Rhinolophus ferrumequinum: one gene and its partner. The protein of the gene in region 1 binds, or shares a complex with, the protein of each later gene. Links are inferred from orthologs where the notes say so. Each region holds a gene or a part of one and is shown on either strand. Other genes may lie near its edges.

Region 1 (3,909 bases):
CCAGCTGTCCCTCCTGCAGGAAGCCCACAGTGGCAGTGCTAGGTCCTCTGTCAGCACCTAGAAAAGTCCCTGCCTGTTCCCCTTCCACCACCCTGTCCCCAAGTTCAAAGCTCCATGGTCAATACCTGCCCCATATTCCCATAGCCTTTCCCCTCTCCCTCCTCAGGCCAGTCCCACATGAAGGCATGGAGGGTGGGTTTGGGGGTTCTGAGTCTGGCCATCCTGAGTCACCCTTCTCACAGGGTAAAAAGCAAAACCCAGTGGCGACCTGAGTGATGCAATTGCGTGCTGAGACTCTGCACCGCCTCGGGATATTCCTGCCAAAGCGCACACCCCAATCTAACCATGGGGACACATACACCGGTGTGCACATCTCTGTCCAGCAGCCTCCGTAAGTCAAGGTCAAAAAGACAGAGGGAGAAAGTCTCCCAGATGGAGAAGAAGGAGACAACGTCCTTACGAGGCGTGATCCAGGGCTCGGTCCAAGAACTGGAACCGTGGCTACTGAGGGCGGCGTCAGAGTCGGCCGTCCTGAATCGGATCACTGGATTGCACATGGAAAGGTCGAATTCTTAGGAAACACGTCGGAGCATTTCGAAACTAAGTGGGGGGCGAAGGCGCCCCTTGAGCTAGCAGGTCTCAATCAGCGTGCTTTTGAACGCTGCATTTCCCTCAAAATGCCTGTCTGGTCGTCCGTTTTACTAGAAACTTCAAACAGCGAGCTTGACCATTTCTCCCACTCAACATGTGCTGCGTTACAGTCCCCCAGAAGCTGGGGCGCCCCAGGTGGGCCGGTACGGACGCGAGGCCGGCTCTCGGCACTCCCGGTACACGTGCGTCCACCGCGGGTTTTCCGCCTCACCGGCCCAGGGATGGGGACCCGGAAAATACCAGTGCTTCCGGCTCCGCAACGGCCTATCATGATCGGGGGTGGGCGGGCGCAGGGCATGACGAGACTTGTAGTTGGCGCACGGGCGGGACTACGGCAACCACAACGCTCTGGGCGGTGGCGGCCGAGGCGATGGCATTGGTACGGTCGACCGGCGTGGGACCCGGCCAATCACCGTTTGGGGCGGGCGGGCCCGTGGCACAACGGGCCTTGTAGTCCCGCGGGCGGGACTACCGCACCCATAGTGCCCCGCGCGGCGGGGAGCGCATTGCGGCTGCGCGGCGGCCCAGGCGCCGTCGGGCTGGGCGGTGGCTAAGCGGATGGGATTCCGGCCTGAACCCCGGTGGAAGCGACGCGAGCCGGGCTACGGCCACCATGTCGGCACCGTCCGAGGAGGAGGAGTACGCGCGGCTGGTGATGGAGGCGCAGCCCGAGTGGTTGCGCGCCGAGGTGAAGCGACTGTCGCACGAGCTGGCCGAGACCACGCGCGAGAAGATCCAGGCGGCCGAATATGGTCTGGCGGTGCTCGAGGAGAAGCACCAACTCAAGCTGCAGTTCGAAGAGCTGGAGGTGGACTACGAAGCCATCCGTAGCGAGATGGAGCAGCTCAAGGAGGTGAGGAGCGTGGGCGGCCGCCGCCACGCCCTCTGGCGTCCCCGGCTCGCGCCGCGCCCGGCCCTGACCCCTGATCCGACCCCTCACCCGGGCCTGGCCGACCCTCGAACGGACCCCCGACGCTGGGCTGAGCCGACCACCTAGCCGAGCAGCCCCAGGGAGTCCAGGGTCGGCGTGCACAGCTGGCCTGGAGTCGCTGCGCCCCCTTCGGTTCCGCCCCAGGGAGGGAGACGCGGTCCCCAGGTGTGGTGGCGGCGCGCGTGCAAGAGAACCCGGGCCTTCTCCGGCCAGGTCTGCGGTGGGGTCCTGTCGCCGGTCTGCCTGCTCCTGGTGGCAGGCCTCGAGCACGGTGGGGTGGAGTTCTTTGCGGCGTTTGGCTTCCCGGGTGAGGGGGATGGGGGCGTGAGATGGATGCAGGGAAAAGCCAGGCCTGGTCCTGCATCATCTCCAGGCAGATCACTTCTCTCTGGGCGCAGCAGTCTTCAGTAGTTCCAGTGCGTTCCCCGAGGCCAGAAAAGGGCTGGGAAAGGGGCGTGCCTTGCATGTGGCCGTTATTGCTGCAGGTTGGGGGTCCCCTGTTGTCCCAGGCACAGCTCTCTGACCATACCCACCCCCACTCCCAGTCACTTATCTGGGATGCAGTGCTTTTCCCGCCCACTTCCTGTCCTGGCCGCCCTCCCAGACCCTTCCCTGCAGACTGGTGACAGGTCTGTGGGCATTTGTCACAGAGGGAGCCTTGTGTCTCCTGTGCAGTTTTCACTCCGGGATAAGGGGTGGGACCATCAGGCTGCCTGAGAGCCTAGCAGCAGGACAGCTGGACAGTCCTTCCAAGAAGTAGTTCTCCTTAATGGTTTAAACACCGCTTTTCTCCCAGTCCTTGCTGACTTCTCTAGCCCTGTTGTGGGGGGCGGAGAGGGAGACGTTTCCTTCTAGTGGGACACCCAGGTTTGGACTCAGGCTCTACCCCCTTGCTGGTGACGTGGCTGTGGACAGGGGCCTTAACTTCTCCCTCTGCAGCATTGCCCACCCAAAAGGGTTGTTTTGAGGGGCATATACTTGAAAAGGAGGGGCACGGTGTCAGGTGCGCTGCCTGACAGTGTGCCCCTTGCCCCGCTGACTCTTCCTCGTCCTGGTGGCCTCTTGGCCCTTGGTTCTGGGATGCACCGTGCTAGGTGTTTTCCCCACTGCCCATCTCCTGGCACCAACGCTCCCAGAGGCCTCAGGCAGGTGTCCAGACTGTTCAGAGCCTCCCTGCCCCACTGGGGACACCAGTAGACTCGTCTTTTGAAGTGGGGAGGAGAGAATGAATGAATCCACGCTAACGCTTAAATCCATGCCTGGCCGAGCAGGTGTGCAGGGGAAGCAGCAGTGAAGAGCATGTGCGGGTTGGGGGAGGCAGGTGGCGGCGCATCTGATCCTCGGTCCTGTCACCTGTCAGCAGGTATTGGGGCCTCCTCTGAGCCCGCTTGGCTGGTACTGGATCTAGACAAGAGAGGTGATATGTGGCTCCTCCTGCAAGGGCCCCATCTTGGTGTGTGGGGGGGCGGGGGGCGCTGCACCATGATGGAGGGAGGCCAGGAGACTGTGAGAGTATGGAGTGGGAGCACCTTCAGCCCCATTCTGGTCTCCCTGGGGAGACCCCCCCAATCCTACCTCCCCACAGCACTCATAGCCCCCTTCTGTGTTCACAAGCTCACGTTCGTGTCCGCTCTAAGAACAGACCAGACCTACTGTCCCAGAGGGAAGTAGTTCTCACTAAGGGACCTTTCGGTTGTCAGCTCGTTTCTATTGGACACAAACATTTTGGCCAATGCAAGAATCTTGGCTCTGCTTACTGGGGTGTGTCTAGACGGCGGGTCCCGGAGGAATTGAGAGGCAGGTGTGTCAGTCTCTGCAGGTGTTCTTCAGGCACCTGCTTGCTTAGTTTGTTGTCACCTCCTGGCTCTTGCACACACTGGTATTTGGCCTTGGGCACGTGGCCCTGTGTCCTGAACTTCAGTTTCCCCCCGTTGTGGCAGAAGCCAGAGGAAGGTGCATCAGTCTCAGTGATGTTACTACTGTGTTTCCCCGAAAATAAGACCTAGCCGGACTAGCAGCTTTAATGCGTCTTTCGGAGCAAAATTAATCTAAGACCTGGTCTCTTATTATGTTACATTACATTGTATTATAGTATATTATACTATACTATATTATGTTATATGACACCTGGTCTTATATTAAAATAAGACCAGTTCTTATATTAATTTTTGCTCCAAGAGATGCATTAGAGCTGATGGTCCGGCTAGGTCTTATTTTCGGGGAAACACGGTAGAAAGCTTGCACCAGTTCACTCACACCCATGCCAGCACAAGCTCTGTCAACCTCTTTAGTTTTGGCCAGTGTCATACCTGAAAATATTAACTTGT
Region 2 (3,909 bases), on another chromosome or scaffold:
GAAAAGCCACAAACCAGAAGCGAGAGGGAGGCCGAGGACCCGGCGGTGCCCAGAGGTGAGAACGAGGCTGGGGGCGGTGCTGCTCCCCGAGATGGGAACAAGGCTGGGGGCCGGGCTCCGAAGTGAGAATGACACTGCGGCGGGGCGGTTCTCTGAGGTGAGAGCTAGGCCACACCCTGAGGCGACAGTGCTGGGGGCGGGGCCACACCCTGAGGTGGCCGTGAGGCCGGGGGCGTGGTCGCGCGGGGGAGCAGCTTGGACCCTTCGAGATGAGCCAGCCGCCTCCACAGGCGGCGCGCGTAACCGCCACAGTCCGAGAGGCTGCGCAGGGGTTAAGGCTGCGGCGCCACCTGGGCGCCGCTGAGGAGACCCACGAGCCGGCGAATCCCGCGCGGGCGCGGCGAACAGGTGCCCGCGCGCGTCAAGCGTCGGCAGGGGCGGGGAGAGGGGGTGCGGCCGGAAGCCCGGGGCGGGGTGCGGCTCGCCGGGTGAGCGGGAGGAGCCAAGGAAGGCAGGAAGGAGTTCGCCGGGCTGCGCGGTGCGCGATGTGGAGTCGCCGCCTCGGCGCCTGCAGCAGCCGCCGCCACCGCCGCTGCTGCTGGGGCTGCCGCCGAGCCGAGGGACATGGAGCGCGGCTGCAGAGAGCGGCCGCCGGCAGCAGCAGCAGCAGCAAGCGTCGCAGCGACAGCGAGGCGCATCCCGCCCCGTGAGGCGCTGCCCGGCCGGCGGCGGCAGCGGCAGCAGCAGCAACAGGGCGGCTGAAAACCCGGCGGCGGCGGCGGCGGCCCTCCCCGCAATCTCCCCTCCCGCTTCGCGGCCCCTCAGTCTTCCCTTCCTGAGCCTTCCCTTTGCCGCCCCCCCTTCTCCCCAGCGCGCGCTGAGCAGCTGAGCCCGGGGGCGGGGGAGGGGGCGCGTGCCGCCGACGCGGGGGAGGGGCGGGCAGGCGCGCGCCGCGCCCAGGGCTCGCGGGGACCCGGGGGACGCGTGCCGCGGCGCGAGGCGCGGGGCGGCGCGGCGGGGCCCCTCCCCCCTGCAGCCTGGCGCGCGCCGGCCGGGCCGCACCGCTGCGGGCTCCGCGCGCGCGGGCCATGTCCGCCTTCTGCCTGGGCTTGGCCGGCCGCACTTCAGCACCCGCCGAGCCGGACAGCGCCTGCTGCATGGAGCTGCCAGCCGCGGCCGCGGACGCAGTCGGGAGTCCCGCCGCCGCCGCCCTTGTCTCCTTCCCCGGGAGTCCCGGGGAGCTGGAACTGGCGTTAGAGGAGGAGCTAGCGCTGCTGGCGGCCGGGGAACGGCCGTCCGACCCCGGGGAGCATCCTTCGGCCGAGCCCGAGTCTCCGGCCGAGGGGGCCGGACTGCAACCGCCGCCTGCCCAGGACAGGGAGCTGCTGTCGGTGATCCGGCAGAAGGAGAAGGATCTGGTGTTGGCCGCCCGGCTGGGCAAGGCGCTGCTCGAGAGGAACCAGGACATGAGCCGGCAGTACGAACAGATGCACAAGGAGCTGACAGACAAACTGGAGGTGAGCACGTCCCTCCTGGGTTGGGTGGGAAGCAGGGGAGCCCGGGCACCCTCCCGGCCGGCCCTGGGCAGCTTCTGGAGCCACTCACTCAACCCATTCCACTCCACCCTTTCCTAGCTCACCCTACCTCACAGAAAACCGCGTGGAAGTGGGCATAGGATGGAGGGTTTCGGATTATCAGACCAGGGCATCCCTTGAATACACCCGACTTTCCCACCCCGCTCACAACAAATGGGCGCATGCACAGGTCCAACCGCTGTGGGCAGTTCTATGTATGTACTGTACACAGCATCTAAAATAGAGCTTACAGTATGACTAATTTATACAGCACTGAGGTGATGTCTCACAGAGAAATGAGAACAGGGAAGCATTTAAAATATGTTCACGTTTTCAGAGTAGTTAATCTCTAATCAGGGTGTTAGCATAAAGCTTTCCAGTTTTGGCGTTAAGGCCTCCAGATGCCCTTGTCTTAACTTCCCGGCGGCTCAGACTTGTGGGAAACAAGTGCCCCTAAAGGAGCTTTATATAGCCTTCAAATACTCAGGGATTAGGAAATGTGGTTCCGTCGCAGTCAGGCAAACCTGTGCTCAACATGTGACCTTTGGTAGTGGATTTAATTTGGACCTCAGTATTTTTATGTGTATTTAACCAGTACCGTTCTGGGTCTCACATATGCAACTGCACAGTTAATGCAACCTAGGAAAACCCTAAAAATAATTACTTCAATTATTGTTATAAATACCCCTTAAAGTGTGTGCAAGATTTCTGCCAAAGTCTTTCAGAGCTATGCCTGTTTGTTTTCTTGCCCTTAACTAGCTAGAAAAGAGTCTTGAAAGTAGTGTGGAACACCACCATTTCTAAAAAATCAAATTTAAAAAGGAGGCAGCATCTGTGGCAGTGGAGACAAGCTTATCTTTTTCTGTCTGTGCATTTACTATTGTTCCCCACTTTGGTTGCAACCACTTTTTTTTTATTAGTTACAAGAGAATAGTACAGTCCTGAATAGGATCTGAAATTGACCCTAGTCTGGTTCCGTATCACTACTACTGTTGAACAGTCAGAATGTAGATTCAGAAACTTTTCTAAAATAAGATTTAAGTGTGTCTGTAGTCCAACAACATATCAAAAGTAAATCAGGGAGAAAAAAGGAAACCAGTGAGTGCCCTGTAGTTCAGTTGGCCTGTTAACTAGGTCTGCCAGTCGATGAACTCCTGAGATACCTCTCTGAAAAGTGGTTTGTGAAACCTATAGGTAGACTGCCAAAAAGCAACCCAATGAATTGGATTGTTTAATTTTCACTTGAAGTAGAGGTCTAGAAATAAAAGGGTGTCTCTTTTTAAAAGAGATTCGATTACATGACTCTATAGAAGTACTACTGCAGAGATTTATACTTGTGATTTGAAATTCCTTCAGTGAGGGACCTGATTGAAGAGACAACAGACTTGAAAGGAACATCATATCAGTCAGTTTGATTAGTGATAGATTTCAGAGTAATCCTGAGTGTGCAATTACACACATCCTGGGTTCCATGTGGAGGGAGCCATTATACATTTCTTTAACAAAGGAAAAATTTCAAAATTCTATAACAAGAAAGGTTCTATTGTAAAAAGAATAATTTACCTATGACTTTTTGTTATTGACTTGATAGACGATAATAAAATAGTTTAAAGCTCTTACATTGTTTTTTAAAAATCTTTACTCCTGTAGGTCAGCATATGACCTCTAGTACTAAAAGTTTAAATATCTGGAGGTTGGTTGCACAACAGTGTGAATGTACTTAACACTACTGAACTGTACACTTAAAAATGGTTAAGATGGTAAATGTTATGCTATGTATACCATAATCCCCCCTTATCCAAGGGGGATACATTCCAAGACCCCCAGTGGACGCCTGAAATGGCAGATAACACTGAACTCTATATATACTGTGTTTTTTTCCTATACATACGTACCTGTGTTAAAGTTTAATTTATAAATTGGGCACAGTAAGAGATTAACAAAAATAATTAATAATAAAAGAATTAAGTTGAGAACTTTCATCTTTCACTTACAGTAAATACTTTACAGCTTCTCTGGCATATCTGAATTGCCAGCATTACTACTCTTGCACTTGGGAGCCACGATTAAGTAAAATAAGGGTGACTTGAACACAAGCACTGCAATACAGCGACAGATGATCTGCTAACCCAGAGGGCTACCAAGTGACTAACTGGCAGGGAGCATAGTATACAGGGTGGATACTCTGGACAAAGGTATGATTCACTTCCCAGGCAGGACAGAGTGGGAGGGTTTGAGAGGTCATCACGCTATTCAGATGGGTGCAAAATTTAAAACTTGTGAATTGTTTATTTCTGGAATTTTCCATTTACTATTTTTGGACCATAGTTGACTG

The links.
Region 2: BICD2 (region 1) and BICDL1 share a complex: the UniProt entries of both Homo sapiens proteins name them as parts of the tripartite complex. The link is inferred for Rhinolophus ferrumequinum from reciprocal best matches to the Homo sapiens genes BICD2 and BICDL1.

What each region holds. Positions count from the first base shown.
Region 1 is NC_046295.1:742,533-746,441, reverse strand, and holds the start of BICD2 (protein bicaudal D homolog 2), read left to right. Parts: upstream 1-1,030; 5' UTR 1,031-1,264; coding exon 1,265-1,504; intron 1,505-3,909. UniProt on the Homo sapiens protein: Acts as an adapter protein linking the dynein motor complex to various cargos and converts dynein from a non-processive to a highly processive motor in the presence of dynactin.
Region 2 is NC_046308.1:12,849,715-12,853,623, forward strand, and holds the start of BICDL1 (BICD family-like cargo adapter 1), read left to right. Parts: upstream 1-1,045; 5' UTR 1,046-1,088; coding exon 1,089-1,517; intron 1,518-3,909. UniProt on the Homo sapiens protein: Acts as an adapter protein linking the dynein motor complex to various cargos and converts dynein from a non-processive to a highly processive motor in the presence of dynactin.